2 linked regions of the Cricetulus griseus genome follow. The protein of the gene in region 1 purifies or fractionates together with the protein of each later gene. This does not show direct contact. Links are inferred from orthologs where the notes say so. Each region holds a gene or a part of one and is shown on either strand. Other genes may lie near its edges. The genes, in order: Ptcd3 and Ybx1.

What was found.
Region 2: the proteins of Ptcd3 (region 1) and Ybx1 purify together in Homo sapiens (co-immunoprecipitation; 4 studies listed by BioGRID and IntAct, with this or other methods). This does not show direct contact. The link is inferred for Cricetulus griseus from reciprocal best matches to the Homo sapiens genes PTCD3 and YBX1.

What each region holds. Positions count from the first base shown.
Region 1 is NC_048601.1:63,589,291-63,605,638, reverse strand, and holds part of Ptcd3 (pentatricopeptide repeat domain-containing protein 3, mitochondrial), read left to right. Parts: intron 1-1,411; coding exon 1,412-1,535; intron 1,536-3,552; coding exon 3,553-3,668; intron 3,669-6,523; coding exon 6,524-6,579; intron 6,580-7,911; coding exon 7,912-7,999; intron 8,000-9,013; coding exon 9,014-9,074; intron 9,075-9,519; coding exon 9,520-9,605; intron 9,606-10,379; coding exon 10,380-10,524; intron 10,525-11,381; coding exon 11,382-11,432; intron 11,433-15,303; coding exon 15,304-15,393; intron 15,394-15,614; coding exon 15,615-15,643; intron 15,644-16,348. UniProt on the Homo sapiens protein: Mitochondrial RNA-binding protein that has a role in mitochondrial translation.
Region 2 is NC_048595.1:32,875,715-32,892,062, forward strand, and holds the end of Ybx1 (Y-box-binding protein 1), read left to right. Parts: intron 1-7,635; coding exon 7,636-7,669; intron 7,670-9,879; coding exon 9,880-9,969; intron 9,970-10,321; coding exon 10,322-10,624; intron 10,625-10,969; coding exon 10,970-11,052; intron 11,053-13,800; coding exon 13,801-14,035; 3' UTR 14,036-14,066; intron 14,067-14,730; 3' UTR 14,731-15,111; downstream 15,112-16,348. UniProt on the Homo sapiens protein: DNA- and RNA-binding protein involved in various processes, such as translational repression, RNA stabilization, mRNA splicing, DNA repair and transcription regulation.

The sequences.
Region 1 (16,348 bases):
CTCATATTGCAGCTTCTGGTAATGATCAGCAAGTCAGCACAGTTATGTAGTGAAAATATTAAAACCCTGACTTAGAACAATGGCCGTTGTGGGATGGTTAGCTGTTGGCTGACAGTGTTCCTGTGCTTGCCTTTGGGGTCACAGTTGCTGGAAGCCTTGCAGGGGGTCTCCTACCTTGGAGATAGTGCCGAAGCACATTGTACAATAACCAACTCTATCTGTTTGTTGTTGTTGTTGTTTGTGTGTGTGTGTTGGTGATGGAGTGCCGGGCCTCTCTGCCAATAACTGTATCCTGTGTGGGTTGCTTTCCCTATTGTGACAAAAGGAAAGGTCTGGTTAGCTTAGAGTTAAGGAAATAACAGCCCATGTGGTCGGGAAGCAGGAGCAGCAGGCAGGCGGTCACACTACCTGCAGTCAGGGAGCAAAAGCCACGCGTTCCCGTGCTTAGCTCACTTTCTCTGTATGTGCCATCCAGAACTTGTATGGAATGGTACTGCTCACATTTAGAATGGGTTTTCCCAACTCAGTTAACCTGACCTAGAAAATCCCTCACAGGCTTTCCCAGAGTCTTGTTTTTTTTCGGTGATTCTTGATTCTGTGGAGTTGACAGCATAATTACCACTGCTGACTCTCTAATGTCTTAATCTTTCTTCACCAGCAGTACTTTGATGAAAGATAATTCCTAATGCCTAGCTTAGTACTTGGTAAGTGGTACCCACTCCAAGTATATTTGAAAAATTAGTGAATGAGATAAAATCAAGATACCTTGTTGCTATTGGGTGTTCAAAGGAAAAGCAAACTCCAAGAAAAGGTTTTGGCTTTAAGAAACTCATATGCTCTGGTGACTTTAACCAAGATGGGCAGAAAAAGAGGAAGACAAGTTTTTTTGATTTGGGGTGTGTACTGGCTACCTTTGTGTATCAACTACACACAAGCTAGAATCAGAGGAAGGAGCCTCAGTCAAGAAAATGCCTCCATAAGATGTATGGCATTTTCTCAATTAGTGATCAGTGGGGTGGCCCAGCCCATCGTGTGTGTTATCATCCCAGGGCCTGAGTTATATAAGAAAGCAGGCTGAGCAAGTCATGTGAGGCAAGCCAGGAAGCAGTTCCCTGCCATCTGCATTAGCTTCTGCTAGTGTGTGTGTGTGTGGTCCTGGCTGTCCTGGAACTCGCTCTGTAGACCAGGCTGGCCTGGAACTCACAGAGGTCTGCCTGTCTCTGCCTCCCGAGTGCTGGGATTAAAGGTGTATGCCACCAACACCCACCTGAACCAGCTTCTTGATCTTATCTGTATGTTTTATTTTATGTTCAGATGTAAGTGGTATGTAGGAAACAGGAACTGTAGCAATGCTACTGTTATCCTGTTTCCTTTCCCTTTTGTCAAGTTACTTATTTATCTTATTTTCTAGTGCTTAATGCCCGAGTCCCTGGAACCTCAGATTGAAGAGGTGAGTGAAGCTGCACTGAAGGAACGAATCAGACTCAGGAGAGTCAAGGCTTCTGTGGACCTCTTTGATCAGCTCTTACAAGCAGGTAACTCCTCTCAGTCAGAGCCCCTCTTGGAACATGGGGACATTTGATATGATCCCAGTAGTTTGGAGTAAAACTGGCCAATATTGTTTACTTTGTTTCATTTATTTGCTTTTGTCCTTTGCACTGGTAAAGAAAGTGCATGCTGATTTTTCCTTGACCTCATTTTTTTTAACATTAGGTGTGAGAGGGCTAGGCCAGATAAAACAGAAACATGATGGATGGTGGTGACAACGCCCTTAATACCCCATACTTGGAAGGCAGAAGCAGGCAGATCTCTGAGTTCAAGGCCAGCCTGATGTACAAAGAGTTCCAGAACAATCAGGGCTACACAGAGAAACCCTGTCTTGAGAAAAACAGAAATATTTTATTTTTTGTGTATGTTTTGTTTGCATGAGTATCTGGGCATATGTGGGTATGGTGCCTGAAGAGGACAGAAGTGGGCATGAAATCCTCATTAACTAATTTACCATCATTTTGGGTGCTGGGAATGAAACCCAGGTCCTATGAAGAGCAGTGCTCTTAACTGCTGAGCCATCTCAGCCATTATCATTAAATTTTAGGAATCTAGACTCCTGTTTAGTGAATTAGAATAAAAAATATGTTAAACATGGAAGAAATGGAAACTGGAAAAACCATTGAAAATACAATTTGAGCCCAAAACATTTTTTTATACTCTTGAAGCTTTTCATAGCATCAGACAGACACATAACTGAAGGGTGATAGCAGAGCATATGTTCTTCTGCTTCCTGAATGTCAGCAACACTTGGGATGGATCTGTAGTGTACACACTTGGTGCCACTTCTACTTTTGCCCACGGTGGTACAGGTGTGCCTTTAGGTTTTTAGGGTGTCATGTCACTTAAACTAGCCTCAAACACTTTGTAATCAAGAATGACCTTGGACTCCTTTTTCCTCAGTGTCTTGAATGCTGGTGTTACAGGTATGGGCAGTCATGCTGAGCTTAATGAATTAGATTTGTTTTTGTGTGTATGAATGTTTTGCCTGAGAGTGTGTGTGTGTGTGTATGCATGCCACATGCTTGCCTCATAGTTCTGGAGGTAAGAAAGGATCACCTGGAACTGAAGTCATGTATGGTTATGGCAATCAAAGTTCAGGTTCTCTGTAAGATTAAAAATGCTCCTGGTCCCAGAAGCATCTCTCCAGACCCCTCTCTTTTTCTTTCTTTTGAGCTTTTCTCTATAAAGTGAGTGCTGACATGGGAGTATCATTTTGAGGGTTTTTGGTTTTTCTTGTTTTTTGATTTTGTTTGTTTGTTTGTTTGTTTTTTCAAGACAGGGTTTCAATGTGTAGTTTTGGAGCCTATCCTGGCACTCCCTCTGGAGAACAGGCTGGCCTCAAACTCACAGAGATCTGCCTGCCTCTGCCTCCAGAGTGCTGGGATTAAAGGCATATGCCACCACTGCCCAGCAAGCTCTAGGGTTTTGTGTTGTGGTTTTTTTTGTTTTGTTTTGTTTTTTGTGGATTTTTGAGGTGCTGGGAGTCAAATGAGTTGTTCTTAAGATAATTATTTTTATGCAGTTGTGCTAGTATTTCTTAGTAAATTTTCAGTGAGTGCCTGAATCCAGTTGGAATAATTATTTGTATTTATTTAGTGGGTCTGGTATAAAGGTATTAAGTGAAAATTCATTTGGACTAGCAGGTCGTTCTTCAGTGACAAGTTCCAGAGAGGAAAGGCCAAGGGTTCAGAAAACAAAGAAGATGGAAAAGCAGGGGTCAGAAGGTCTCACACAAACTGTCTCTTATGCCAAACAAATGTATTAAGAAATACGACATCTTATATATAGTTTATAGGGGGGAAATGGGACAGAATCTGCAGAAAGCCATTATGGATTATATTTGTTAATTGGTAAAATGGTACCAGAGATTAAGTATGTAGCCAAATAAGCCACCATTAATACAAAAAGTGAAGAATTTCCTCTAACAGGCTTTGGTTCTTGGATGTTTGAAGGTTTCTTTCTTGTTTTCTTTTTCTTTTTTCTTTTTTCTCCTAACCACAGGAACCACAGTCTCTCTTGAAACAACTAATAGTCTCTTGGATTTATTGTGTTACTATGGTGACCAAGAGCCCCCAGCTGACTGTCCTTATCGACAAACTGAACATGCAGAAAACTTGGTAAAAAGAAAAGAAAAAGAAAAAACTTGGGTGTTTTGTTTCTAAAATATTTTCTCAAAATGGGCGAGGGTGCTGTCCCATATGTCATACATAGTAAAGGGTCTATACTGAGGTGGAACTATAGCCTTCACTCAGCAATGATGAAGGAAGACACATATGAAATGAACAATTGTTTTTATTCGTTTTTAATCGGTGTTATACAAAATAGTGTGTTTTATTATGACATTTTTATACATGTATATAATGCATTTTAATAATAGTCCCTCCCCCTTTACGCTCTTTCGCCTTTCCCATTGGTCTCTTTCATCTTCCCAAATGGTCCTTCTTATACTTTGTTCATATGAGATAAAAACAAGCAAAATCTGTTTTTCTGAGTCTATGTATAATCTCTAGTTCCATCCATTTTCCTACAAATGACATAATTCTGATCTTTATGGCTGACTAAAACTTGGGTGTGTTTCTGTGCCACACATTTTTTGTGGAGGTGAACCTGGGGCCCTGCACATGCTAGACAAGTACCGAATCATGGAACTCTAGCTCCAGTATCACGTCCCCCTTTTTGTTTGTTTGTTGAGACAGGGTCTTGCTAAATTGCTTGGACTACCCTTAAATTTATATTTTGTATGCCTCAGCTTCCTAAGTAGCTGGGTTTGTAGGCTCCAATCCCAGTATAAAGGCAGAGGCAGGTGGATCTCTGAGTTCAAAGCCAGCCTGGTCTACATGGTGAATGAGATCCAGGCTAGCCAGAGCTATATAGTGAAACCCATCTGAAAAAAACAAAATCTATTGGGCATGTAGATTGATGCCAATTGAGCTATTATAAATAGGGCCATAATAAATACAAGTATGCAAGTATCTCTACAATGTACAGTTTTTCAGGTATGTGCATGGATCATGGAATGGCATAGCTGGGTCAGATGCTGTTTTGACAAGCTTCGTGCTGAATTCCATAGTTGTTCCAATAGTTTTATGTTTCCACCAGCAGTGAGCGTTTAAGGATCCCTTTTATCCTGCAGCCTCAGCAATGTTTGTTTGTGACTAGAGTGAGGTAGAATCTCAGTATAGTTTTAATTTAATTTGTGTTTTTTATTTGGAACAATTATTTTAACTATATTCTACTTAGCAATATTTTGTCTTCATGTACTAAATACTCAGCAGAGGTTTGGCCAGAATTGTTTGAGCCAGCACTTTGGTGACAGCATGTTGTGTAAAGATCAAGGAAAGACTCCATATTTTGTCACTGGTTACCTTTTGCTGAAAAGTTGTACATACATGGCCAGTAAGATAGTTCAGCAAGTAAAGGCACTTATTATATAGGCCCAAGAGCCCTGAGTTTGATGCCAGGATCCCATGTAAAGGTGGGATGAGAGAACCAGCTGCTCAGAGTTGTTCTGTGATCACCCATATGTGTGCTGTAGCATTTGCAGGTCCACACTGAACACACAATGCATTTTTAAAATTTATACAGATGTGGGCAGAGAGGAGGGAGCATGTTGCCCTTATGCCAAGTGTTGCCTGTAGGTGGAGTAGTAGCTGTCAGAGTTAGAGGGTTTATTTCTAGAAATAGATTTCAAGGGATCCTTTGTATCTGGTATATAGAGTTATGTATGGAACGTTTTTTCTCAAACAGTATGGATTTATGCCTGTACTTGAAAGATCCTGAAAACAGTGTAGATAGCCAATAGTAGCTGTTAATAGAGCCCTGAATGGTCCGGAAGTAAAAGATTACTGAGCATCTATATCCCCAATCCAATTTTTATAACTGAAGTGCTCCAAAATCTGAACTTTTTGACTATATTAAATGGGAACTTCCACACCTGGCCTTATATGACTTCATTCTTTCAAAAATTCTTTATGTTGTATGTATTTGGAGAATGAATTTCATGTTTAAACCTCATCTTTTGGATAAGGGATTCAATCTTTGTTATTTTTTCTTAATCCATTCAGACTTTGTTCCCTTCCTCTCTTCCATAAGGGAGAGAAGAATGTCAAACTTTGTTATTTTTATATAAAGTTTTTTCATTTGCAGACAGTGAAAATTTGTTTTTTTGAGACAGGGTTTCTCTGTCGCTTTGGAACCTGTCCTGGCATTCTCTCTGCAGACCAGGCTAGCCTTGAACTCATGTAATTCCTCCTGTCTCTGACTCCTGAGTGCTGGGATTAAAGGCACGCACTACCACTACCTGATTTACAATGCAAATATTTAAAAGTGTTTCTGAGTAATGATATTATGTTCTTTGTCCACTAATTGTGGGTTATTTCCCTACATAGTAACTAGTGTTGTAAAGTACTCATTCCTGTGACCATGTAGAACATCTTTTGAACCCTTCCAGACTGGCCCCCATTCTTCCAAGCCTTGCTCTTGAAATAGCTGGTTGACTACAGAACTAACCCTGGCTTCTGCAAATGCTAGTCAGGCCTCTATGTCTGCCTCATCCCAGATGATTCATTCATAAATAAGTCTTTTAAAGGTCCTTTAGCTAGTATTAGACATACTAATGTCAATTTCTCTTGCTTTGACCCCATGTGTACAGTATTTTTCTGAGACAAACCACTTGTGGCCTCTGTAGCAGTAGATTGCACTTTGTTTTGTTTTCTACATTTAGACAGGCCACATAGGGCATTGCCTTTGTCTTATCACCACATGATCTCTTAAGAACTGACTTGGCTTTCCTCTGTGTTTGGTGATTTTCACACTGAAGGAATTGGATGTGGGTGTGAACATTTTATTAAGTTCCTCTTTGCCTAGAGCTAATCTGTTATTTACTTTAGTTTTCTGAATTTCCTTTGCTTTTCTGATTTTTCAAGTAGTCTGCTAGCAAATATTGTCTTACCTTTTATTTCATCCATTCTAGGAAGAGGCCACAGAGACAAATGTTCAAACCTCCAAGATGAAGACTATTCCTTGGAAGTATGTTGCATATGAGAACCTTGTATTTTGGGGATTTTACAGTACATGCAAAATACTTTACATTGTCCTCTGGAGTTGAAATCCTGAAATGTTCTAAAACAGATTTCTTTTGTTTTTTTTTTTCTTTTTTCGTCTTTTCTGTGTATATGTGGAACTGGGTTTCTCTGTGGTTTTTGGCTGCCCTGAAGCTCACTATGTAGAACAGGTTAGACTTAAACTCACAGAGATCCTTATGCCTCCTTAGTGCTAGGATTAATATGTGTGCCACTACACCTGGCTTCTTAGTTATTGTTATATTCAAGATTCCATCTAGCCCAGGCTAGCCACAAACATAGACCATTCCTGGCTCTGCTCTCAAGGCCTGGTATAACAAGCGTACAATATCACTTCGGGCTTAGATTACTTTTTATGAGAGTGTTAACTCCTGCCACCATACAAAAATCTTTGGGTTTGTCCCGGGTGTCCTTTTTGGTTTTCCTTTTTTATTTATTGAGAGTTCATGCATTTTTGTTTATTGGAAATACAGTTTGAAAAAAAGTAAATAACAGTATGTTTGAACCTTTAATTAAGGAGTGCATGAAATAAAAATAAATATTCTATGTGGATCTATAGAGAAGAAAGGCTACCATTAATACCAGAAATTGAGATCAAGAGAAATGGCTTAGTAATTTTTTATATGAAGGCTTGAGTTCCGTTTCCAGCACCTGTGTGCCACTACACCTCTAACCTATGTAAGCACCAACCCATGTGACACATTGAAACAGATGGCACACTCGTGGGCCTTGTAGAAAGATCTTGGGTCATATCCTAATTGTCTGGTTTCTATAATATTAGGGTGTTTGGGATACAGGAAAATGTATATAAGGTGTATTGCTTTTTTCCCCTCTAATAAAGGTACAGAATTGCTCATGCTAGAGTCATGCTTGCCTCAGGAAGCAGGGTAGGGAACAGAGGAGAACCTCCATTGTGTATCTTTTTGGTTTTTTAAGACAGGGTTTCTCTGTGTAGCTTTGGAACCTATCCTGGCACTCGCTCTGTAGACCAGGCTGGCCTGGAACTCACAGAGATCCGCCTGCCTCTGCCTCCCGAGTGCTGGGATAAAGGTGTGCGCCACCAACACCTGGCCCATTGTGTATCTTATGTGCAGAGTATTTTGTTCTTTACCCAGGGACCCTGAGTTATTCATGTCCAGACAACTTCAGATCTTTGACCCTCCATTTTTGAGATGATAACCCTGTCAAACTCTGGGTTGTAGAATGGTTATGTGAAAAAATGGCAATTACTACTAATTTTCCCAGTGCCTCTGATTCATGTTTATTCTGTTGTTTCTAGAGCACAAAACAATGCTGAGAGAATCTTTGCTCTGATACCCGAGAAGAATGCACGCTCCTACTGTACAATGATCCAAGGGATGGTGAAGGTATCTTCCTTTATTTTTATCTTGAAGGTCTATTACGTTGGATGAATAATATATTTGGGGGTGGGGTCGGTTCTGAGCATGATGTCTATTTGCATCATTCAATTTTTATGCAAATAATGAAAATAGTTCTACCTCAGGGTCTCAGTTTGTAGGTCAGCTGGCTAGGCCGTTAGGGAGACAAGGCTTAAGTTCACAGCAATTTGTCTGCGTCTGCCTTGTCATTAAAGGTGCTCCAATAGCTAGCAAAAACTTTTTTTTCTTAGAGTGCCTTTAGATTCAACATTTCTTCCCACTGTATTCTCTGGAGTAATTGGGAACATGGGCATAAACTACAGCACTTAACATGATCATTTTATGTAATACCTTTGTGAGTCTATGCTCTGTCTTGTAACCTATTAAATGAGGTCCTATTCATGACTTTATATCAGCCCTCTAAATTTTTTAGCTTGGAGGCATTTCAAATTTTGGATTAGGGATGAATGACCTTTATTATAGTTTTGTGAGTTTTTTTTTTCTTTATTCATGTATGTGTGCATCTGTCTGTGTCTTAAGTGTATGAAGGAGTGTGTATGTGCATGTGCGCGCTTCCGTTGTGTGCCTACATTGGGTAATAGAGGGTGTTGATCCCTTGGAGCCAGTTACTGCATTTATTTATGAGCCACCTGACATGGGTGTGGGAATAAGAACTCTAGACCTTGTGATCGAGCACCAAGCACTCTTAAAGGCTGAGTCAGTCACTTCCTCCTTGACGATAAGAGGGTTGGAAGCTTCCCTTTGTGTTGTGAGATGTTGTCTCCCACCTTGCCGCCACCCCATTTCTACTCATTAGATGTGAGTTACATGCTCTTGCTTCACTCTCAGTTGTGATGACTGAAAATGTCTAAGCATTGCTAATGCCCTCTGGAAGAAACTTACTACACTAGGGTACGAGCTTCTGAGAATTGGAGGCTCCTGTTTTGTGTGTTCACATTCCAAATTGAGAACACTTTGATGATGTTGCTTTTTCCTCTCCAGCACCGAGCTTATGCACAAGCACTGAACTTGTACACCGAGTTATTAAATAACAGACTTCATGGTGAGTCTGGGGACTGGCTTCCACCTGTGTATTCCCTCAACTCAGTGGTTTCCAACCTTCCTAATGCTGTTAACCTTTAATACAGTTCCTCATGTCGTGGTGACCCCCCCAACCATAAAATTATTTTGTTGCTACTTCATAACTGTAATTTTGCTAGTGTGGTGAGTCATACTGTAAATGTCTGATATGCAGGATACCTGGTGTGCACCCACTGGTTGAGAACCACTGTTCTAACAAGAATCAGTTAGGTTTTTGGAAGTTGTCTCAGTTATTGGGCCACAGTTATTGTTTGGGGGGTTGTTGTTTAGATTTTTCAACTTTTGTTGCCATACTAGTGATTAAAATGGGACCAGAGAGCTAGTTCTATGATCATTTTCTCTTCACCTCAGCTGTTTTCAGGTAAATTTTCAACCTCAAGTTTTGTTAAAGTATTTTTCTTTTACAGCTGATGTATATACCTTCAATGCATTGATTGAAGCTAAAATGTTGATAGCCAGTGAGAAATTTGAGGAAAAATGGAATAATATACTGGTAAGGAAACAACCTTTATTGTCTTCTACCCACCTTTGACTATGAAATATTAATTTATCATTTATGTGGTGGCAACTGCTCAGTACTCTGCCCTAGCTTAAGAAGCCTCTCTATTATGGGGGAAAAAACAAAACACTGATTAATCAATTATTACATAGCAAGGATTCAGGAAGAGTTGGGACACTTAATGTATAATTGATTTCATTGTTAATTACAAAAGTACATACCTATTATAGAATTCTAGCCAGCGAAGTTAAATTGAAATCACTGGAGAGATTTTGTCAAAACTTAGAACGTGTTTTTACATACCATGGGCGCTTCTATTTTAGTCTCAATTTGGTAGAAGACTACAGATAAACACCTTGATTGCCTGTGGTGCATGATAGGATTTGGGGAGACAAAGATAACCTTGATCCATGACAGTGTAAGGAGACTTTCTGGAAGATGGGATCCCTGGTAGATAGTTCTTTGTCCCTTTTTGGTTTTGTTGGTTTTCTTTCAGAAAACGTCTCACTGTCCAGCCTTTACGAGTCTGGAACCTGATATGTAAATCCAGGCTGGTTTTCAACTCACCGAGATCCCTTGCCTCTGAATCTCAAGTACTGGGATTAACGATGGGCTTCCAAACCCGGTTGTTCAGGTTTTTTTAAGCAGATAGTTACTAAATTAGAGTATGGGTGCTAATTTTTTTCATATGTAGCCACAGAACTAAATTATTTCAGTAGTTTTGGCAAATTACCTTGGAGTAAAAAAAAAAAATTTCCTGTTTCTTAGGATCTGCTGAAACATATGGTTGCACAGAAGGTGAAACCAAACCTTCAGACTTTTAATGCTGTGCTGAAGTGTCTCCGGAAGTTTTATATGCATGGAAGGCTCCCAGCCTTACAGACATTACGTGAAATGAAATACCTTGGAATAGGTAAGAATGCATCCTGGCTCCTCTCTGAAGATGAGGTGTGCTGACTTTTGGTCTCAACCACAAAAGCCAGAAGTGTTTATATTTTTACTATTGCTTTACTGTTAGGGTTTCCTTGTGGCATTTGTAACTTCACATGAAGTTGGTTCTTTGTATCTATCTCTGCAAACAACCCCAGATAAAAAAATGTTAGGTAAAAATAATTGTAAATATGTCTACACTTGTATTGGCCATTACTAAACAACACAAGTATTGGGGTTGCATTTGTGGCATATCAGGTTTTGGATCTAGAAATGCTTTGAAGTATACAGTAGGATGTGTGTGGGTTATGTGCATATAATTCCATTTATATTCACGTGCCATGGATACCAAGTGATAACTGTCCGCTATGACAGGAATACTTTATCACTTCATGTTCTTTACAGTAGATATTATTGTTATTTAACATTTGAAATACTTTTTCTGTAATTCTCTTAATTTTAAAGGGAGTTGATTGCTTTTTTGGCCTGTTTTAAATTTCAGGACATTGTTCTAGCATAATTAAATATTGTGACCCAAATTATGTGCCACTTTATATTGTGAATAATTTAGTAATTGCTTAATTTAAGAATAGTTAGGCAAGCTGGGCAGTGGTAGCGTTTGGCTTTTATCCTAGCACTAGGCCAGCGTGATCTACAGAGCAAGTTCCAGGACAGGCTCCAAAGCAATACAGAGAAACTCTGTCTTGAAAAACCAGAGAGAGAGAGAGAGAGAGAGGAGAGAGAGGGGGGGGGGTCTTTTGCTTAAATGTTAATGTTGTGTTTCAGCTTCATTTTAGATAACTTATTTTTTTTTTTTCTCTATCTGCCTGGTAATTTGAGAACCCTCACTTGCAACATACCATCATATTATTCATCTCTTTTATCACCGAGGTATGTATACCCTTACATTATTTTGGTTTGTATGAAAATTGGCCATCTCTATTGAATTTATGTAATTGTTGCAGTACTTGCTCTTCATATGAATTAATAGCTCAGTGGCTAAGCGCACCGGCTTTCAGAGGACCCGGGTTCAATTCCCAGCACCCACATGGTGCCTCACAATTATCTCTAACTCCAATCATCAGGGATTGATGCTTCTTTTGGCCTCCAAGGGCTCCAGGCACACATAAGCATACATACAAACAAAACATCCATACACAGCCTGGCATTGTGGCACATGCCTTTAATCCCAGCACTTGGGAAGCAGAGGCAAGTAGGACTCTATGAGTTTGAGGCCAGCCTGGTCTACAGAGCAAGTTCCAGGACAGTGAGGCTACACAGAGAAACCCTGTCTTGAAAAACAAACCAATTAAAAAACAGAGAGGTCAGCCCTGCGTGGTCTTGGATACTTGTTAAAAGAGTCAAAGTTGGAGGTCTGCCACACAGTTATTTCCAAAAAAAAAAGAAAGAAAGAAAAGAAAGTATATAAATTAGCATTTACAGTTTGAGCAAACGGTTAATCTTGAGAGTAGAAACCTTGATTGTGATATGAAATACAAACTGGAGAGGGCTATAAAGTGTACTAGCATTCTTGGACTATAAAGAATAGGCAAGGTGGGTAGTTAAGGGTTCATTTTGGTCTTTAAAACTGCTACTCAGTATATTAGCTTAGTAATCACATATAGGTTGTTTCAGTTTATTTTTTTAAAAAATATGTGACATTAGGGCTCAGCAACCATATTCTTTCTCTTTGTGGTTTCCAAGAATGAAGCTCATGTGTCATTAGGTTGTCGGCAATTACTGTTATGTAACCCTGACCCATCTTACCGCCCCACAAATTACCCATTCTTACTCTGCCTAACTGTCAGTCTTCCTCACATGGTTCCCTTCTACTTGCATATATCATAAACATATGTATCTTCATGATCTAGATTTCATGTGGAAGAGGAATATAATAGTTGTATGATTTATTTTGCTTAATATGGTGATATCAAGTTGTTTTCATACAAATGAGATGTAACCGTTTCTCTTAAATAGAACTCCATCATGTATTCCAGACCCTTGTCTGTAATCTCTGAATTAGAGAAGTCAAAGCAGGCCGATAAGATGTTCAAGGTCACCTTTGGGCCAGCATGTTCTTGCTATCTGAGTCTCAGAGAAAGGTAGAAGGGAGCCTAGGAAGATAGGTCAGTTAAGAAAATGCTTGCTACCCAATCTAAACACTAGAGAGATTGATCACAGAACATAAGTGTTGTAGCACATACTTGTAGTCCTAGCAGAAATGGGTAGACTCTTCACTTTACCTTAAGGCCACCCAACCTAGTCACTTCCATTTAAGTTGCTCTTGTCATTGCTTTTTAATCATAGCACCATGTTACAAAAAAGGCAGATGGGTCAATGGGTTAGGTCTTCAAGCCTTGGTAGCTTAAATTGGACTCCAGAACCAGTGTGAAGCCAGACTAGGTAGTGGGTGTTTAATCCCGGCGTCCATGGTGAGATAGGAGGAAGAGACCATAGAACCCCTAGAAGCAACTCACAGGGGAACACAAATTCCTGATTTCTGGACCTTAGAGTTAGGATTAATAAGCATATGCCATATGTACTCCACTACTGATGTCCTTTTCAGAAGTCCTTGCCTATGCCATGGTTTTAAAGTGATGTCTCTGTGGTTTTCTTTAGCAGGTTCAGAGTGTTAGATCCTTTATTTGACCCATTTTTAATTATTTCTGTGTGCAATGAGATTATTTTTTTCTACATATAAAAACAGAATTTTGAGGGCCACAGAGATGGCTTAAGTCAGTGGTTCTCAACATTCCAAATGCTGTGACTCTTTAATACTGTTCCTCATATTATGACCCTGAACCATAAAATTATTTTCATTGCTACTTCATAACTGTAATTTTGCTACTGTTATGAATCATAATGTAAATATTTGATATGCAGGATCTCTGATATGCCACCCCTGTGAAAGGGTCTGTCAACAACCCACAGGTTGAAAACCACTGGCTTAAGTGGTTAAGAGAACTTGTAGATCTTCTCAAGGACCATGTTCCACTCCTAGCAGCACCCACAAGCTCACCACCACCTGTAACTCCAGCTTCTGGGGATCTGGCATCCTCTTCTGGACTCCCAGAACACCTATACACCTGTGGCACACATTCACAGACATCAGTGGTTCTCAGCCTGTGGGTTTCAACCCTTTCATGGGTCCCATATCAGATATCCTGCATATCCAGTATTTACAGTATAAATTCATAACAGTGGTAAAATTACAGTTATGAAATAGCAGTGGAAATAATTTTATGGTTGGGGGTTGATACAACATGAGGAACTGTATTAAAAGTCCACAGCATATGAAGATTGAGAAACACTGACACACTTGAGTAAAGTAATTTAAAGAAGAAAGAAAAATAATTTTCCTAGTACCTCCTGTGTTTCTACAGTATGTTTCATGGCTGTGCCCTCTATTCAGTTCTGCTAGCTACATGTGTGTTTTTATGGTAATGTAGTATAGAAGTAGTGTGTTTTTAAGGTAATGTAGGGATTTATATACATTAAATAATGTAGTATTTAAGAAGGATTCTTAAATACACTGAGTTGTCTCTTCAAATGGAGAACAATAGATCCTATTTTCCTTCTAGAAGGCTGGAAACAGATATGGTTGTTAATAGCCTGGTAACATTACCTCTGCACTACCTGTATGGTCAGGCCTTACTGGCTTACCCAGACCCTTATCGTGTGTTTTGTTTATTTTTCACCTGCCTTCTCAGTTAATGTAGAGAACCTATCATTATGGAAGATTCCCAATATCACTTGTACTTTACAGTAGTTTTGATAGTCATGTCTTAAGTTTTGTTGTACACATGAGACAGAGTTAATTATTGCCAGGAAACTTTCTCCACATTGTGCTGTGCTTAAATATGCCTAAAATAAACTACTTGGTGTCATGCTTTCAGAGTTTGAACTAGCACCAACTATTGAGTTATATTGAACAGGACTTCTTCTTGCCAAGTACAGTTTTTGCCCTATCAGTATCTAGTAACTTTTTCAAACCCCAGTTATTTTGCCATGTAGCATAGAATGTCTTGAACTTGCTGTGCAGTTTAGGTGAACCTGTTTGATGACCTTTCTATTTTAGTGTTGGGATGAACAAGCAAGTTTGGCCATGGCTGGCTCGTGTGACTTCTAAGAACTGCCCCATTCATTGATCTGTTCTGCAGTTGGGTTTTTTTCTTGGATTCCTTACCTGTTCCTTAAAAGAACATGGGGCTGGAGAGATGACTTAGAGGTTAAGAGCACTGACTGCTCTTCCGGGGTCCTGAGTTCAATTCCCAGCAACCACATGGTGGCTGGCAACCATATATAATGAGATCTGGTGCCCTCTTCTGGCCTGCAGGCTTATATGCAGACAGAACACTGTATACACAATAAATAAGTAAATAAATAAATAGATAAATAAATTTTTAAAAAAGGACACAGGTACCACCAAATGATTCGATTAAGTGTGTTGGTTTGGGATGAGGGGCTGTTGGTATTTGTTCCACTTAATAGAAATTTGAGCTTCTCAGGAAGAAATGAATAAAGATGAAGTCTAACTGGACCATACAGACATAGCATAATGATTCTTACAGATTTTACAAAGACTTGGGCTCTGGGCTATAGAAGATTCTTTCACAAGTTTTTGGTTCTGTCCAACTCTGCTAGGTCTTAGGCTAAAGATGGAGGCAACAGATAGGAGGCCTTTATAACTGGGGCTGTGAAGTTGGTTCTACTTATGGAAGTGGACTCCTAATAAACACCCATTTGCCTTACTTTTCTGCAGGCAGCTCTTTAAAAACGTCATCCTTAATCATCTATGACATCATGAATGAATTAGAGGGAAGGAAATTCTCTCCACGGGACCTGGATGATGGTAGGTACAGAAATTAATTGTGTTATTCCTCCAGCTAATGACAGGAGGCTTGCTTGAGTGCCATTATAGGCCTTGTGTTGAAGGCAGTGTTTATTTAGCTAAGTAACAATATTTGGATTGAATATTCTGAGAAAGCCAAGATGTCTGTGGCATATTTATATTATTGATATGTAAATACTGTTATATCCATAGCAACCAAACTTTTGAACTTTGGTTTTCAGATAAATTTTTTCAGTTGGCCATGAATGTGGTAAGTGCCATTTCCTTAATTAATTGTGCTCCAAAGGTTCCTCTCTGTTTCCTTGTTTTATCTAAGTGGGTGCTTCTGCATGTTCTTTCACTTTTAACTCTTTCCTTCATGCCTTTGCTTCTACTTTCTTTTGTACAATCTGTACTTTTAAATCATCTCCTATCTATTCTTTATTGCACTGTCCTTTTTCATGCTGTTTTGATAAGCTTTCAGAATATTTTGCCCTTTAGCTTTGTTAAATCCATGAGAATAGATTGTTATGTTTATTTTCATTTTATCATCCTAGGAAAAACTTCAAGTTTTCAGGATGAGTAGTGAGCATCCTGTTTGTTGAGAATTGTGTGGCAGCCTAGTAGCTATCTTCTGGGGTTTTCCTCTGACAGCTCATGGTTATTCAAATGTTTAAATGTATCCCTGTGGTAGTGGATGTCACAGGAGGGGAGAACTAACAAGTATTTCAAGGCTGGTTCTTGAAGCGATTTAATGGTGATTTTGATGGTAGAGTAGAATTGCTAACTCAAAATAATTTTGTTTTAATTTTTATAAACCTATGGTCTATTTCTTCCCTAATTTCTTGTGGCTTTTTTTGCTGTCGGTCAATAAATTGAATATTGTTAGTTAGGTATTTTTGCAAAGAAAAACAGATACTGTGTGTAACAGTCCTGGTTATCCTGAAACTTACTTTGCAAACCAGGCTGGCCTCAA
Region 2 (16,348 bases), on another chromosome or scaffold:
GAATGGTTTGTAGCCGGTGGTGGTGGTGGTGAGTGCAGTGGCTGCACTCTGGGCTCCCTTGTGAGCCCGGCATCTTTTTCAAGATGGCTGCCAAGGCTAGTGCAGTTGCATGGGTGTAGAGCACCGCGAGTGCCAGCAGCAATCCTGGCCGTACAGCTGTGAGACTTGGCGCCATTTCAGCATTTTCTCTCTTACATGCTTGCTTAGAAGGCGTTAAATAAGTAGATGGTGGGAAAGACGCTTAAGAGTGACTGAGTGCTTGTGAAGTGGACACTATCAAATTGGCAGCTAGTCTTTTAAAATAACGGAGTGATGAAAAACCGTTCATTGAACCACGCCGTGTTGTGGAAACACTCAAACAGAAGCGATTACAATCACTTAATGGTCTGTTCTCTATAGTAGCAATTACAGGGAAACATTTTGTTTTTCCAGACTAGGATTTTCTACTGTGGTAGGCTGTTCGCTTTCCTGAGGAATGCTACATTTTCCATGTTACCCCCCCCCATGGGTTACTAGTGAGCAAAGAGGGAAATATAATATTTTGCTGCTTGTATAGGGTTAGTTACCTGGTGGCTTTAAACTGGTCATTGTCGGTGCTTTGGTTGAGATTTCTATCCTAACAGTCCCAGAGGATGCTGAGACTAGTCTGTATACCCTACCTTCCAAAGGACAGTTTTAGAACCCTTAGCCCAGTGCTGTTAACTAGTCCTCTTTGGCCACATTTCTAGTTGGGTTAGCTGTGGGGTTTTTTGGTATGCATTTAATAAATTTTAGCGTTTGGCTAGGCTTATCACTTTCCTTTAAGCAGTTTTTTTCCAAGATTTGTATACTGTTCTATGTTGTGCAATTGTGTAGATTACAATAGACTGTCCTTAGTAGCTTAGTTGATCATTTTTCTGGGCAACTTAAATGTAATTAGCTTATGATGATCCTTTGTTAGAATATCTTAACCCCAATTACTGATTTAATTGTTTAAAATGTGCTTGTTTCTAAGCAGACCATTATATTGACGCATTGGTTTTTAAATGAGATAATAACTGTTGAGGTTTGGTTTCAGTGAACTAGAGGTTTGTCCTACTTAAACAGTATAGAATGTAAAATGGGAGATAGGTATTTGGAATGCACTGTGAATTCTGAGTTGTATATTCTAGGATTGTTTGTTTTTTGAGACAGGGTTTCTCTGTTGCTTTGGAGCCTGTCCTGGAACCAGCTGGCCTCAAACTCAGAGATCCACCTGCCTCTGCCTCTGCCTCCCCAGTGCTGGGATTAAAGGCGTGCGCCACTAACACCAGGCCCTGTATTCTAGGACCTTCAGCTGTTTTATAATTCAAATATAAGAGTTCATCTCACCTTTAAAGATAGGTTCATTGAAGTCTAAATTATTACCTGTGATGCATTCTTAAAACTTGGTCAAATTGTTTGTTCCAAGACATTTTCAAATGCAGATTATTTATTTTTTCAGAGATCCGCCTGTCTCTGCCTCCCAAGTGCTGGGATTAAAGGCCACCAACGCCCAGCAAAATGCAGATTATTTTATTGTAAAATTTTCAAATTAAAAAGCTTGGGATGTAAAGACAGTGATAACATGCATGTAATCCCAGAAGGCAGTACATCAGGAGTCATGCTCTGCTGCTACTTGAGTATAAGGCCATCCTGGATTACACCTGAAGAACCTTGCACCACCTCCTTTTGAAAAAGGTTTTTTTTTTTTTTTTTTTTTTTAAATTAAAGGCGTGGAGGTGCACACCTTTAATCCCAGGCAGAGGCAGGCGATATCTGTGAGTTCGGGGCCAGCCTGGTCTCCAGAGCAAGTGCCAGGATAGGCTCCAAAGCTACACAGAGAAACCCTCGAAAAAAAAAAAAAACCCAAAAAATCCTGACACTCAGGCAGAACCAGAGCTTTTAAAGTAGCAGAATTTAGTCTGTTAGAAACATCATAGTCTAGGAATTGGGCCTATATATACCATGTTGCCCAGCTGGGTCATACAACTTTTTTTTTTGAATCCTTCCCCAAGTTAATATTATTATTAATTGTAGAGAGTGGTCCATAGCCCTGGAACTCTTGGTGACAGAGTTTAGGGGTTGGGCTGTGGCTCAAGTGATAGAACTTAAAAATTCAGAGCACCAGACAGGAATGGAAGTTCTGCTCATGATCTCAACTTTTACATCACTTTTTTTCCTTTCGACCACCATCTATTAAAGCCTGTACGTGTTCGTATATGAGGTAATGCCTATGCTGCAACACTTGTATGCAGGTCAGAAGACAGCTGCATCTGACTTCTACAGGGGTTCAGGGTTGTCAAGCTTTCACTGCAAGCACTTTTCAGCTGAGCAATCTCCTTGGCCCAGACTGTTTTATATTCTTACATTGCTCATTGCCATTTATGCCTGCCCTATGTACGTACACAGGCCTTTTTAACCTGTGGTCTAGAAAACTTAGTTTTACGTCTGTACTATAAAACTTAATGCTGGGGGAGTGGGATGGTGGTGCACACCTATAATCCCATTACTCAGGGAGGCAGAGGCAGGCAGATATCTGAGTTCCAGGACAGGCTTCAATAAAAGTTACACAGAGAAACCATGTCTTAAAAAAAAACAAACCAAAACTGTCAATGTTAGTCTTCCTTCGGGGGTCCTTTCTTTTGGGGTTTTTAATTGAGCCTTTGATACTTAAGCACTGTTTCAGAAACATGGGTTTTGTGATTTGTCCCATAAACAGGAAGTAATAGAAGCAAGATTTGAACTTAGTTTTGTGCTCTGGAGTATTTGTTCAACAACTGCTTTTATACTATCTGTGAAAATGGATCCTGGCCATTTTCAGTTAGAACTTGTCCACATTCTTAGACATTGAAGACTTCATACATGATCTACAGTGGAGTTTTTATTTGCTGGCTAGTCCTCTGGTATTATGGATTGCCTTTTACTATATTTCATAAATTCCAGTTTAGTGTACAAGTCAGCTTTACAAATTGAAGAACTTGATTCATGTCATACTGAGATTGATGCAGTTGAGTGTTGTCCCAAGCAGACCTGGTGGTATCATCCTTTATTGGTTGGTTTTTGAGATGTGGTTTCTTTGTGTATCCTTGTTTGTCTTGGAACTAACTCATGCTGTTGACAAGGCTGGCCTGGAACTCAGATCTGCCTTGCTTCTGCCTCCCAAGTGCTGGAATTAAAAGGCGTGCCCCACTCTGCCTACCTGTCCTGGTTAGTTTTTTCATTTTCTTTTTTGTATACTTGACACAACCCAGAGTTACCTGGGAAGGGAGAAGCTGCTCCTTTGAATTGCCTTGATCGGGGAAGTGCCTGTCTGCCTCTAGGAACCTTTTTTTCCAAACAGGGTTTCTCTCTTGCTTTGGAGGTTGGCCTGGAACTCAGAGAGATCAGCCTGTCTCTGCCTCCTGAGTGCTGGAATTAAAAACGTGTGCCACCAACCCCCAGCTTGCCTCTAGGATTAAAGGCCCCCACCACACGTCTGGTTTTACTTTTTTGTAAAGGCTGCTTTTTTACTACTTAGCTGGGATGTCGCTCTGGCAGGATGGGCAAGTGTGTCTTGGTCTTCATACCGTAAGGAAGCTCTGTAGTCACTGCCAAGACCAAAAGTGGCACAATACAAGAAATCCTTGGCCACAGCCATGAAGGCTAACCCTTTTAGGTGCTTCAAGTACAAAGGGAATTCTGGAGAAGCTAGGGATTGGGGTCCAGCTCATCAACAGGGCTGGTGATGGTTTGAGTTTCACTGAGGGAAAAATGAAGTTTTGGTTGCTCAGTGGTGGCATTGCTATAGAGTCCACTTTCAGGTTAAGTAACTTTCCATGTCTCCATGTAAAGGCAAGAAGAAAAGACCAAGAACATAAATATTGATGGTAGTAATGTGTTTTCAAAAAAGTTAGTTAGCTGAGTATATAATTATATATTTCAATACTGCAAAGTCTGCAGTACTTTAACACAGTGTTCTTGGTAAAAATGAAAATATGGTAGGTTGGAAAGATTTTGGCCAAAATCTCTTGGGCTTTTATTTTTTATTTTTATTTTTTAAAGATTTATTATGTATACAATATTCTGCCTCCATATATGCTTGCACGCCAGAAGAGGGCACCAGATCTCATTACAGATGGTTGTGAGCCACCATGTGGTTGCTGGGAATTGAACTCAGGACCCCTGGAAGAGAACAGTCAATGCTCCTAACCTCTGAGCCATCTCTCCAGCCCCTCTTAGGCTTTTAAAGTCACCCTGGTTTCTGTCTCAGAAGTGTCTTAATGTGTATCCACTAGAATAAGTATTGCACAAGAAAGTCTGAGGATTCCTTGACAGTGTTTAAGAAAGGGACATGCAAGAAGTTGACAATACTGTGACTCTTGGCTTGCACACAAGACTTGAAGAGTGAGCAACTGCTTACCTGTTACCGTATTAATTACTGATGATGGGAGTCTCTTCGATCGGTGACTGACTTAAGAGCTCAGAACAGAATCCTTATCTTGTAGTGGTTCTTTCCCTTTTTCTGCCAAGTAAAGTCATTTGCTCTTAATTCCCCAGAAGGAGCAGCATGTATCTTACCCTTAAGCTTCCTTATCCTGAGACTGTAGTTGTGGAGTTAGGTGGCCTTCAGGCCTGTCTAGATCCTTGGAAGCATCTGTGGTCACACCTGGAAAAGATATGTCTGCCTAGAGAGTTAGTAAGGAATTAAGTGGGATTTGTGATTTTAGGGCAAGCCTTAAGGCTTGGTGCAAACTATGGTAGTGGTTCTATTAGTATGTTGATCATTTTGTTAATGAACTTATCTTAGGTCTTATTTATGTCTCTTTGGGTTGGGGGTTTTTTGTTTTAACTTTGGGAACCTTGTTGGTCTGGGTAGATTAAGTAGAAATGAAATAGTAATTGTAGAGAGCTAGCTAGGGTTTGAATGATAGGCATAGCCAGTGAATGTTTTAGGGGCTTAATAAATATTTAGCATATTGCTGTAGTGTGTGAAACATGGTAATGAAAGGAGGAAGCTGTGTTTGTTTTCCTTCTGACCTACATCAGGAAAGCATATAGGGATTCTTGTGTTTTAATCTTCCTCTAAAGGTAAAATGTGAGCTGAAAAGATGGCTCAGTGTTTACAAGCACTTGATCCTCTTTCGTAGGACTCCAGTGTCAGTGAGATCAGACACCCATTTGTAGCCCCCACCCCACCTGAACACCTAGCATATAGATATTTTTATTATTATTTTAAGGTACACTGTAAGGATTTTTTTTTTCTTTTAATTCCTATGTGTGGATACCGGAGCCCCCAAGAAGTTGGTAGTCAACACTATGAATAAACAGCCACAGGTTGTATTTCAGTTCCTTTGTGAAGATGGTAGGGGTTAATGACGCTACCTATGTCAGAATTGTGGGGATAAATGGTATGTTCCAAACACCTAGTGTAATCTTCAGTGATCCAGGCTGCTATCTATATGTGTACCACAGATACCATAAGAGGACATTGAGTCTTCTGAAACTGGAGTGGCAGGTAGTTGTAGGAGTTGGGATCCAAACCTGACTTTGAGAAGAGCAAGTTCGCTTAATCACTGGGCCAACTCTGTAGCTCCTACAGTATTGATCTTCTTGCAGGTAGAGAAGAAAACAAAAAGTAAGGGGATAGCTTTGCTTTCCAAGGCTACAGGACTTTGGGGGGGGGGGCTGTTTTTGAGACAGGGATTCTCCATGTAACAGCCTTAGCTGTCCTGGAACTCCTGTAAACCAGGGTAGTTTAGAACTTAAAGTTCCACTTGCCTCTACCTCTCAAGTGCTGGGTTTAAAGGTGTGCGCCACCACTGCCCAGCAGCTACAGGACATTTAATAAAAGTTTTCAAACACATAGGAATCAAGTTCCTTCCTGACATCTACATACACTTTGATATATTCCTCAATCTAGTCTAGTTACAAGACAGCTGCTGAGACAGGCCTTTCTATGTGTATCTACGAAGTATTTCTTAGGGAATAGTATTGCCTTATTGCTAGCATTATCCAATTTTAAAAGCTAGATAAATAACATTTTATAACCCAGAAGTAAGTTCATGGATAACTGTTGATCATTAACAAAAAAAAAATACCCTTTGGAAATTTTCTTTTCATTGAATTTAAAATACTGAATTTTGAGACAGGGTCTCTTTATAGCCCTGGCTGTCCTGAAACCCAGAAATCTGTCTTCCTCTCTGCCTCTCCAGTATTGGGATTAAAGGTTTGCAACATCATGCCCAGCTCATTCATTTTACTGCATTTATTTTGGGGGGAATTGGGAACATTTGGAGGTCAGAGGACAAGTTGCAGGAATTATCTAATTATCTGTAAATGGGTTCTAGATCAAACCCACATGGTCTAACTCATATTTTCAGTAAGCACCTTTACATGCTGAACCATCTTATTGGCACCATCAGTTTAAGTAAAGGATATTAAAACAATAAATGGCTAGGTTGGATGAGGTAGTACAGCAATTGAGAAAAACCTTTTTGCTTTTTACCAGTGTGCCAGTGGTGTCTTTTGGTCATTAAATGCTAATATTAGAACTAATACTGAACCATTTCTCTGGCTTCCTAGTAGTGAAGAGGGTCACTAACAAGGAAATCTGTTCCTCCAGTGGTTCTTTGGGGTCCTGATGTTGGTCACCCCTGCCCACATTCAAAATACAAATGATTCCCCACTTAATCCTCACTTCCAGTTTCCATTTACTCTTGGTTTCCTCCATTTTGGTCCCAAGAAAGATAGCCTAAATATCTTCATTGGATGGTTGTTTAGTCTAAGACTTTGTCAGTTCCTGTCTCAACTTTGACCTAACTTGCTGGGCTTTGCTTATTCAGATGTTTCACTGCATTTTCTGCAATAATCACACCACATTCTTCTAATGAAAGACTTTGTTTTCTTGGTAATGATCCCAACCAGGGCTGTGGAAACTGAGGCAGAATTGTCACAGTGCAAGCTGTCAAAAGAAAGCTTGGCTAAGGATTGTGATGTCTGTGATGGGGGGGGGAACAGTGTTAGGCACATAAATAAGGTGTACATAGTTTACATGAAATTTCATTCTGTTTTCTAGAGGACTTTATGTGGTCATTTTTATTGCCTTAGGGAATTTGGAGATTAGAATTGTGAGGAAGTGAGAATGACTACTCCAGCTAGTACTACTGGTCTATAGGGAAAGGGGTGTGGGCAGGTTATTGTTAATGTTTAATAAGGTAGAGTTTCTTGTCATTGCTGTCCTTTTGAATTATGGCTCATTTGGTTACACCTTCTTAGACTTGTTTGCTTTCCTTACAAGAAGTGAGTGGGCTTATCACTGTTTCCCAAAGTTTAGTCTTTAAAGTAGTTGGTGTAGCTTGTGTTTTTACTGTATACACACACACACACACACACAGAGATAGTGAAGGTATAGCTGGTAGTCAATCACCCACGCTCAAAGTTAAAAGATAGAAATGATTTTCTGCTTAAACAGCTAGGAAATCTCTGGGAAAATTGAGGCTGTCCACTCACCAGGCAGTTCTTTGGGGTTTTCAGGTTGCTCTATGTAACCTGACTGGCCTGGAATTTGCTTTCTAGGCCAGGTTATTCTTAATCAGTTGTAGGCAATGAAACATAATTGTTTTTTCACTTGGTTTTTTTCTTGGTTTTGTGTTGTAGGAATGACACCAAGGAAGACGTATTTGTACACCAGGTGAGTGCTTTTATTGATTCTCTTTACTTCTGGCTCAAGGCTTAAGAGAAGAAAAGAAAGGATGGGTGTGTTCTCAACTGTTTTGGCTCTAAAGGTTAAGTTCAAGAGTGAGTTTATTTAGTTCCTGAACCTGAAGATTTAGTGTAGAGTGAAACATTGCACTGAAGAGTCCACTTAATTTAAAAGTGTTAGATTTGGAGTTTCATTAATAAATTTAAAATGTTGAATCTGTTCAACTGATGGCACACAGTTTTCATGCCTAGTTTCAGACAAATAACCACCATGAATTTAACCTTGAATAATGTGCTATAAATACACGGAAACATTGGCAAGGTATTGCCAGATGCTGTTAGAGTCAGGTTCGCTTTGGTAAGGACAAATCTTTATGGGACAAAGCTACAAAACCATTACATGAAGAAAATAGGGAGCCAGCACTGACTAGACTTTCTGTTTTCACCTTTAGAGTTGACTGGAAAAATAAATCCTCACTAGTAATTTAACTCATGTGAAAGGCACTGCAAGAGTTGTGATTGGTCCGTAAATTACTTTAATTGGCTGCCAGTGTTTGGAGGAGATAGAAGTACATACTGACTAGGGAAATGACTGGACATTAAGTTAAGAATTATTGGTAACTGCTGGGTGGTGGTGCACACCTTTAGTCCCAGCACTAGAGAGGCAGAGCAGGAAGATATCTGAGTTTGAGGACAGCCAGGGCTACACAGAGAAACTCTTGTCTGGGGGGTGGGGAGGGATTATTGGTAAGGTAAGATGCTGCCAATTGAGTGGTATACTGCCAGCATCTTCACACAGTGAAGTGGATTAGGGAATACTTCACTTCCTGTGTGCTTCCACGTGATCAACTTGTTGAAATATCCACTTGTGTTGAAAGTTATTTTAAGAATTTTCAACCTTTTTTTCCCCCCTTTATTTCTTTTTTTTTTTAATTGGGGGGAGACCAAAAGACCTAGCAAAGATTAAATTAAAATGCTTGTTTGGGTAAGGTGACTCTTACCTGTACTTACTACAAGTTGGAAATAAAATGAAGATTTAACAGACAAGAAACAGCAAGGGTTATTAGTCTTGCTGCCACTGATAGCCATGAGAGATTGGAAGGGGCTAAAGATGGTGACTAACATGTTTGGGGATTTTAATGCATACTTCTACTATCCCTATGACTGCAAATAATTGAGTTGGCTACATATGAAAGGTATGAAACTATACGACAGTTCAGATGACAGATGAGATCATTTATTTGACTCAACTCACCCAGTCTTATCCCATAAGGTGTCACCAATATGCTTTCCTATTTATTTTGCAAGTGGTATCAACATAGAGTTGTTCTTGGGACTTTGGCTACGAGGTTGTGGTGGTGTATCAAGTAGACTGCAGTTCTGGGCACCGGATCTTAATTGGCCTCAGATTTGTTGGTTGTCCGGCCTCCTCTGGAATAGAAATGCATGAGTGATCCTGTAACGGATACTGCTGTGATGTGGAATGAACTTGGGATTTGGAGTCCTAAGACCTGGATTTAGAAAAGTTCCCTGCCACTTAATAGCTGTGTGACCTTTGGCACTTCATAATTTTTAAGCCCTATATAATGTAAGACTTAACTGTTTTCTGGGGAGGTGGTAACCAACAGGTCTCTTACAGAGAGAGATATATACGAGTGGCATAGATACATGTGAAATGCATTTCCCTGGAAGTAGTCATTATAGACAGGCTGGAAGGGATTTTGCTTGACATTTGTAATTGAGTTTGATATGGTAAAGGGACAAGAGTTGGTATGGTCAAAGTTGAAGCATGTAAAACTAAACTTGCCTGTCATCTAAACTGGCCGTGTGTCGGGCTAGCTTCTATTAAGTGCAGTCTTTGGGGGATAGATGGAGGCCTTATTTTGTTCCAAGCTTTATATGTGATGCTTTTGCAAAAAGTATATTAAAACACATTGTTGTCTGTCTTGGGTACTAAATTACTTAGTTTTGTAAATAGTGGTAAAATGCTGGGGCCTTGTAAGATTGGAGTCTCTTGGTAGAGGTTGGGGGTAAGGTAACATTGGTCCCTGCTTTCCTAAATTATTGACAGTTTGGTCTTACATAAAGCAAATTTTAAGTATATATCCAAGCTAAAAATGATATTGACGCTGGTACATTTTAAATGAAAAAAGCACATTCTTCTCCCCTGTTAATCTATTTTTGGAATGATGTTACTAGACTGCCATAAAGAAGAATAACCCCAGGAAGTACCTTCGCAGTGTAGGAGATGGAGAGACTGTGGAGTTTGATGTTGTTGAAGGAGAAAAGGTGAGGATGCTTTTTGTGTAAAGGTTTGACTTCGGTATGGAAATAATTTGGAGATTTCATCCATTAGGATGGTGGCTCTAATTGGATGGATGATGTGTTCTGGTGACCACATGAACACAGGTGCATCAAGCCTAACGTGCTGCTGCAGTTAGAGAACAGTCCCTTCAGAAGAGTGAGGAGCTGATGACGCAGTCATTCCTATGCACCCTTTCCCATGCAGACAGCCTCCCTCGTTTTTTTGTTTGCTCTTGGGTTTTTTGTTTTGTTTTTTTTTCCCCCTCCCCAGCTTGAGTGAAATTTATTGAATATTTGGATTTCTTTTGTTATTGTCAATAAATAATGGCTTTTGTAGGGTGCGGAGGCAGCAAATGTTACAGGCCCTGGTGGAGTTCCAGTTCAAGGCAGTAAATACGCAGCAGACCGTAACCATTATAGACGCTATCCACGTCGTAGGGGTCCTCCACGCAATTACCAGCAAAATTACCAGAATAGTGAGAGTGGGGAAAAGAACGAGGGATCGGAAAGCGCTCCTGAAGGGCAAGCCCAACAACGCCGGCCCTATCGTAGGCGAAGGTTCCCACCTTACTACATGCGGAGACCCTATGGGCGTCGACCACAGTATTCCAACCCTCCTGTGCAAGGAGAAGTGATGGAGGTAAGTGCCAGTATGTATGCAACAGCATTTTTGCTGTCTCAGGGCTAGTGCTGAGTGAGCACCAACCATACATACTCCTTATAACAGCCTTTGAGAAAGACTATTTTAACTTAATCGTGGAAATTTTCCCCTAAATTAACCTGTTACCACAGAATGCACTTTTGATTATGAAGAAACCACCAAGCTTGTTAATGTATGGTGTGATCATAATTATTAGATATCTTGTACTCAGGAATTGGAATTTGGCCAGGAAAGTGTTTTCTGGTTTGAACTTCAGATTGGGATTTTGTTCTTGTTGTGGACCCAATAGACTTTAATTTCTAATGTCTTCTGATGTCTTTTCAGGGTGCTGACAACCAGGGTGCAGGAGAGCAAGGTAGACCAGTGAGACAGAATATGTATCGGGGTTACAGACCGCGATTCCGCAGGTATGGTCCATCGTAACCTGTTTCTGTTGCATTCTTCAGCCAGATGTTAGGCCTCTCCAGCATCGTGAGTTAATACTTCATTCTCTTTCACTGATGCATAAGAAGTGCTCCTGAAGTGAGTAGTCTTTGAGAATGTGTTCTTTCTTTTTGGTTTCTCTGTTTTGGAGCCTGTCCTGGGCTCTGTAGACCAGGCTGGCCTGGAACTCAGAGATCTGCCTGCATTTGCCTCCTGAGTGCTGGGATTAAAGGCCTGCGCCACCAGTGCCTGGCTGAGAAATGTGTTCTTTCCAGCTTTGTCACTGCTTTTATAGTCACAGCTTATATAGTTGAAATCTACTGTATATGGTTCTGTCCCCGAACAGGTAAGAGTATTTCAAATGACAGTATCTAAACATGGCTTACTTAGGAAGGGAGAAAGGTGAGGGTAATAAATAGAAAGTCCTGTGTAGTGGTGTTTGAGGTAATAGGAGCTATTGGAATAATAGGAAAGGCTTCATGTGCAAAGCTGGATCTGCTGGACTTAGAGGAAGGTTTAGGAGTTAGAGAACCCAATGAGGTTATATAACTATGCAGCAACAGCTAGTGCTCCACATCCATGGAGTGTTTATATTATCAGCCAGTTTCTCACCCTGTCCCAAATTTGGGATTGAACCCAAAGACCACTTATCTGACAGATAGGACTCACCGGTGAGTGTATTGTGTATGTCATCCTTGGGTGTCTTTCTCAATCATTTACCTTAGTTTTTTTGAGTCTTTACTGGATCTGGAGCTCATTAATTGAGCTAGACTGGGTTTCTGTCCTTGGTGCTAGTACTCAAACGAACATCACCACCCAGCTTTTTGGGTTTTTGGTTTTTCAAGCTTCTCTGTGTCCCTGCCTCTGTAGCCACACTGGCATTGAACTCTGCCTCCGGCATCTGCCACCAGTGCCCAGCACTTTACCACTTGATCACTCTCCCGGCTCCTCTCCCTGGCATTGTTCTTTTCTTTTCTTCTTTTTTTTTTTTTTTAAGACAGAATTTAACTAAGTTGCTTGGGCTGCTAGCCTCAAACTACTCATCTTTCTGCCTCTACCTCTTGAGTGGCTAGGATGGAAGACATGTTACACAGCACCCAATAGTACCAAAACATGGTCAGTGTCTAAGCTTATGTGCCCTGTGGTGGTTGGATTTTTATTTTTGAGACAGGACCTCATGTAATTCTAACTGGCCAATACTCAGTGAAATTGAGTTGCCTCTGCTTCCTCGGGCCTGGGATTAAAAAGAGTGAAACACCACACCTGCTGTCCTTGTCCTGTTGGTTTTGAGGCAGGGTTTTTCTATGTAGCCCTGGGTGTTCTGGAACTCTGTCTAGCCCTGACTGTCCTCAAACTCAGATCCAGATCTGCCTGCCTCTGTCTTCTGAGTGCTAGCTAGGATTAAAAGGGTTTGCCCTGTCCTGTGTTTTTAATTCAGATGAATTAGGAACCTTTTCTTGGTTAACTTTTAGATTGATTTTATTTGAAACATTACCTGCGTGTAACACATGTATGATGGTGTCCAGAAAGCATCTGATGTTCTGGAATTGATGTTACGAACATGAATTGTGGGTGCTTGGGGACCACTGGGGCATCTGGACTACTCCCTGGTGAATATGATTTGATTGTGTTGTCCTTGTGCTGAATTCTTTCTGTTTTTAATGTTGATGACTTAATGTTTTTAATGATTTGGAAATTCTTCAGTGCTACACCCATTGCCATAGCCTAAGTATAAAACGTAAAGCATGCTCTCCTATCAGTATATATTAGTCTATAGTTGTCAACAACAGAATCTTGGGTGTGCGAGTGTAGCTTAAATCTCTTGCTAGTTTCACTAGTATCTTGAGCAAATATATTTTGGTGGTGGTTTAAGTTAGAGATACTGCCAGGTGGTGGTGTTTCTGGCTTTTAATCCCAGGCATAGAAGGCAGGCAAATCTGAGTTTGAGGCTGTGAGGGACACCTTGATCCATAGAGTGAGTTCCAGTATAGCCAAAACTACAGAGAAACACTCTGATTGCTTCCTTACATAGGCTTTTGTTCCTTGATTTGTTACAGCTAATGTTCTGTATGTGTGTGAATGTTTTGCCTGAATGTATTATATCTGGTGCCTGTGGAAGTCAGAAGAGGTTGTGGGTTCCCCTGAAACTGGATGGTTCTGAGGAGTTAGGGGTGGTTGCTAGTCACCATGTTGGTGCTAAGAATCAAACACTGGTCCTCTGAACAAGTATTTTTAACTGCAGAGCTATCTCTCTCTACAGCCCCTTGAATTAATTTTATAGTAATTTTTTTAAGTTTGCACAAAGGGTATGATTTTCCAACCATGCCACAAATCTTAAGACACATGGATAGAAAGTATGGATCCTTTTGATGGAATGGAGTTAAGAAGAAAATGTGTGGTCAAGAATTTTAGTGTATGATAAATAGAAATGATAGATTAGAACATACAATAGAACAATAGTTACTAGCAAGAAAATAAGTTGAGTAAAAAAAGTATTGAATTGAGTGCACCAGCACTCAATTCCAAGCATTTAAGCAGCAAGCTCAGCTTTACTGGCCTTGGTTTATATGAATGAAATGAAGAAATACACCTTTTATACAGAATCTTTTACACTTGGCTTTTGGAAGTAATTTACATTTGCTAAGCTGTCAGAACAACCAATAAAAGAAAATGGTAGGTATAACCAAGTACCAAGTATTATCACTCTTGAAGTTATATAATGTTCATTTCAGGGGCCCTCCTCGCCAAAGACAGCCTAGAGAGGACGGCAATGAAGAAGACAAGGAAAATCAAGGAGATGAGACCCAGGGTCAGCAACCACCTCAACGTCGGTATCGCCGCAACTTCAATTACCGACGCAGACGCCCAGAGAACCCTAAACCACAAGATGGCAAAGAGACAAAAGCAGCCGATCCACCAGCTGAGAATTCGTCCGCTCCCGAGGCTGAGCAGGGCGGGGCTGAGTAAATGCCGGCTTACCATCTCTACCATCATCCGGGTAAGTAGTCATCCTCTGCGGTTCACTGCACTGTGCACTGGTGCAAAAGAAACTAAAAACAGTAATAGAGTAAAACAAGCACTTTATTACTGTTCACTCTAATCCAAGTTAGACAAAATGTCTCCCTTTAGATCAGTCTTCATGTTGTATGTTTTGACTATGAACTTATGTCTGTCGGTCAACTCTGTGATCTTAGCAGAAAACTAAGTCTTGCTCCTGGTTCTCTGGAGATATATTCCAGCACTAGAAGCAGAGGCAGGCAGATCTCTGAATTTGAAGCCAGCCTTAAATCCTCCAAGCCTAGCTTCCATTTGGCTTTACTTGCCGATAAAAGACTAAATTCAGCCTGTCAGTGGTGGCACACACCGTTCATCACAGCACTTGGGAGGCAGAGACAGGGGGATCTGAGTTCCAAGACGGCCAAGGCTACGCGGGGGGGGGGGGGGGGGGGCAAGCAAGAAAAGAGAAGAAAGTATCTCTGGCTCTGGGCTTGTCATTTTCTTCCCCTTTGTATGTGCTGAGTAGCAAAAGATCATCCATATGCAGTAATGTCCACTCCTGTTATGAATCATTCTTAGGCTAAAGCAAAATGAGGTAGTTAAAATGTGACTGATTGGTCCACTATGTGAAGAATATGGTAAATAATGAGTCTTTCTCTTTGCAGTTTGGTCATCCAACAAGAAGAAATGAATATGAAATTCCAGCAATAAGAAATGAACAAAGATTGGAGCTGAAGACCTTAAGTGCTTGCTTTTTGCCCGTTGACCAGATACACTAGAACTATCTGCATTATCTATGCAGCATGGGGTTTTTATTATTTTTACCTAAAGATGTCTCTTTTTGGTAATGACAAACGTGTTTTTTAAAAAAAAAAAAGGTCTGGTTTTTCTCAATACACCTTTAATGGTTTTTAAATTGTTTCATATCTGGTCAAGTTGAGATTTTTAAGAACTTCATTTTTAATTTGTAATAAAAGTTTACAACTTGATTTTTTCAAAAAAAAATTAACAAACTGCAAGCATCTGTTAATAAAGGTCTTAAATAATAGTGTCTGTCTAGTTTTGTCATAATTTGGTAATTTCCTCCCATTTTCACGATTTTTAGAGTGAAGCGGTTTACAAATGGGTGTCCTCCCCCCAAAGGGACACTTTCTTAAGATCAGAGTCTTTATCTGGGTGCTTAATCAGCTAGTTGTCCATTTTTATGTATAAGTGAGTTAGTCTGTCCAGAATGCTCTATGTAAGACATCAGCTGTGGAGTCTGGAGATGGAAAGGTTTCTTTTGCTGCAAAGTAAAAGGGTAGAGGAGTTTTGCAGTGCTGTTGAAAGTCCAAGTGATGTTTCCCTCTATAAAAGCTCCATAGAATATAAGATACTGCATTAGAGAATTTGGGATGGGGAATAGTGGGTGCTCTTTGTCAACCAAGTCTAACAAACTTGGGACCATTTCTTTTTGGTTTTTAAAGACAGGGTTTCTCTGTAGCTCTGTAGACTAGGCTGGCTTGGAACTCAGAGATCAGCCTGCCTCTGCCTCCCACATGCTGGGATTAAAGGTGTGTGCTACCACCGCCCAGCTGAGATCATTTCTTTGTAGAAGAAACTAATCAGAATCGATCGGTCATACCTATCCTTACTAAATATGGTAAGGGTGTGTTAGTGTTCTGAAAATAGTATTGTCAAGAGTGCAGCGAAAAAATGACTGTTGTGAATGTATCAGTAATGGAGACTATTTAGTTAAAACCTAATGTGAATGTGTAGATGCCTGTATAAACCAGTTTTCTAGAGAAGCCATGAGATTGCTATATAAGCATTAAAGAATTTATCAGGTCATTTTTTATATTAAAATAGCAACAATAACTGAATGACAATAGAATCTGGTAGTTGCTCAATCCTTGAAGATAGGTGCTTTAGCAACCTTACCTCCTGCCGAGAACCTGGAAAGTGAGCTATATGTCGTCATTCCAAAGTGGAAGCTTGCAAGTACTGCTTCTAGAAGCTGGAAAGAAATCAACAAGCAGCAGAGCAAATCAACTCAGCAGCAATAGGGAAAACCAAGGAAAGCAATCTGCCCTTTTTATCTGGTCTGCTAACGAAAGGTCCTACCTAGTATTTGGTTTTCCCATGTCAATATAATGAGGACATTCTTTGGATTGTGACTCCCTACACTCAGTGAATTCTGGTTTGTCACAAATTGTGAGGAAGTGCTAAAAATTAGCAAATATGATCGAGGTTGGAAAGGAAAATGGCCCAGGGGTTAGAATTGTAAAAATGCCTCTGGATTCG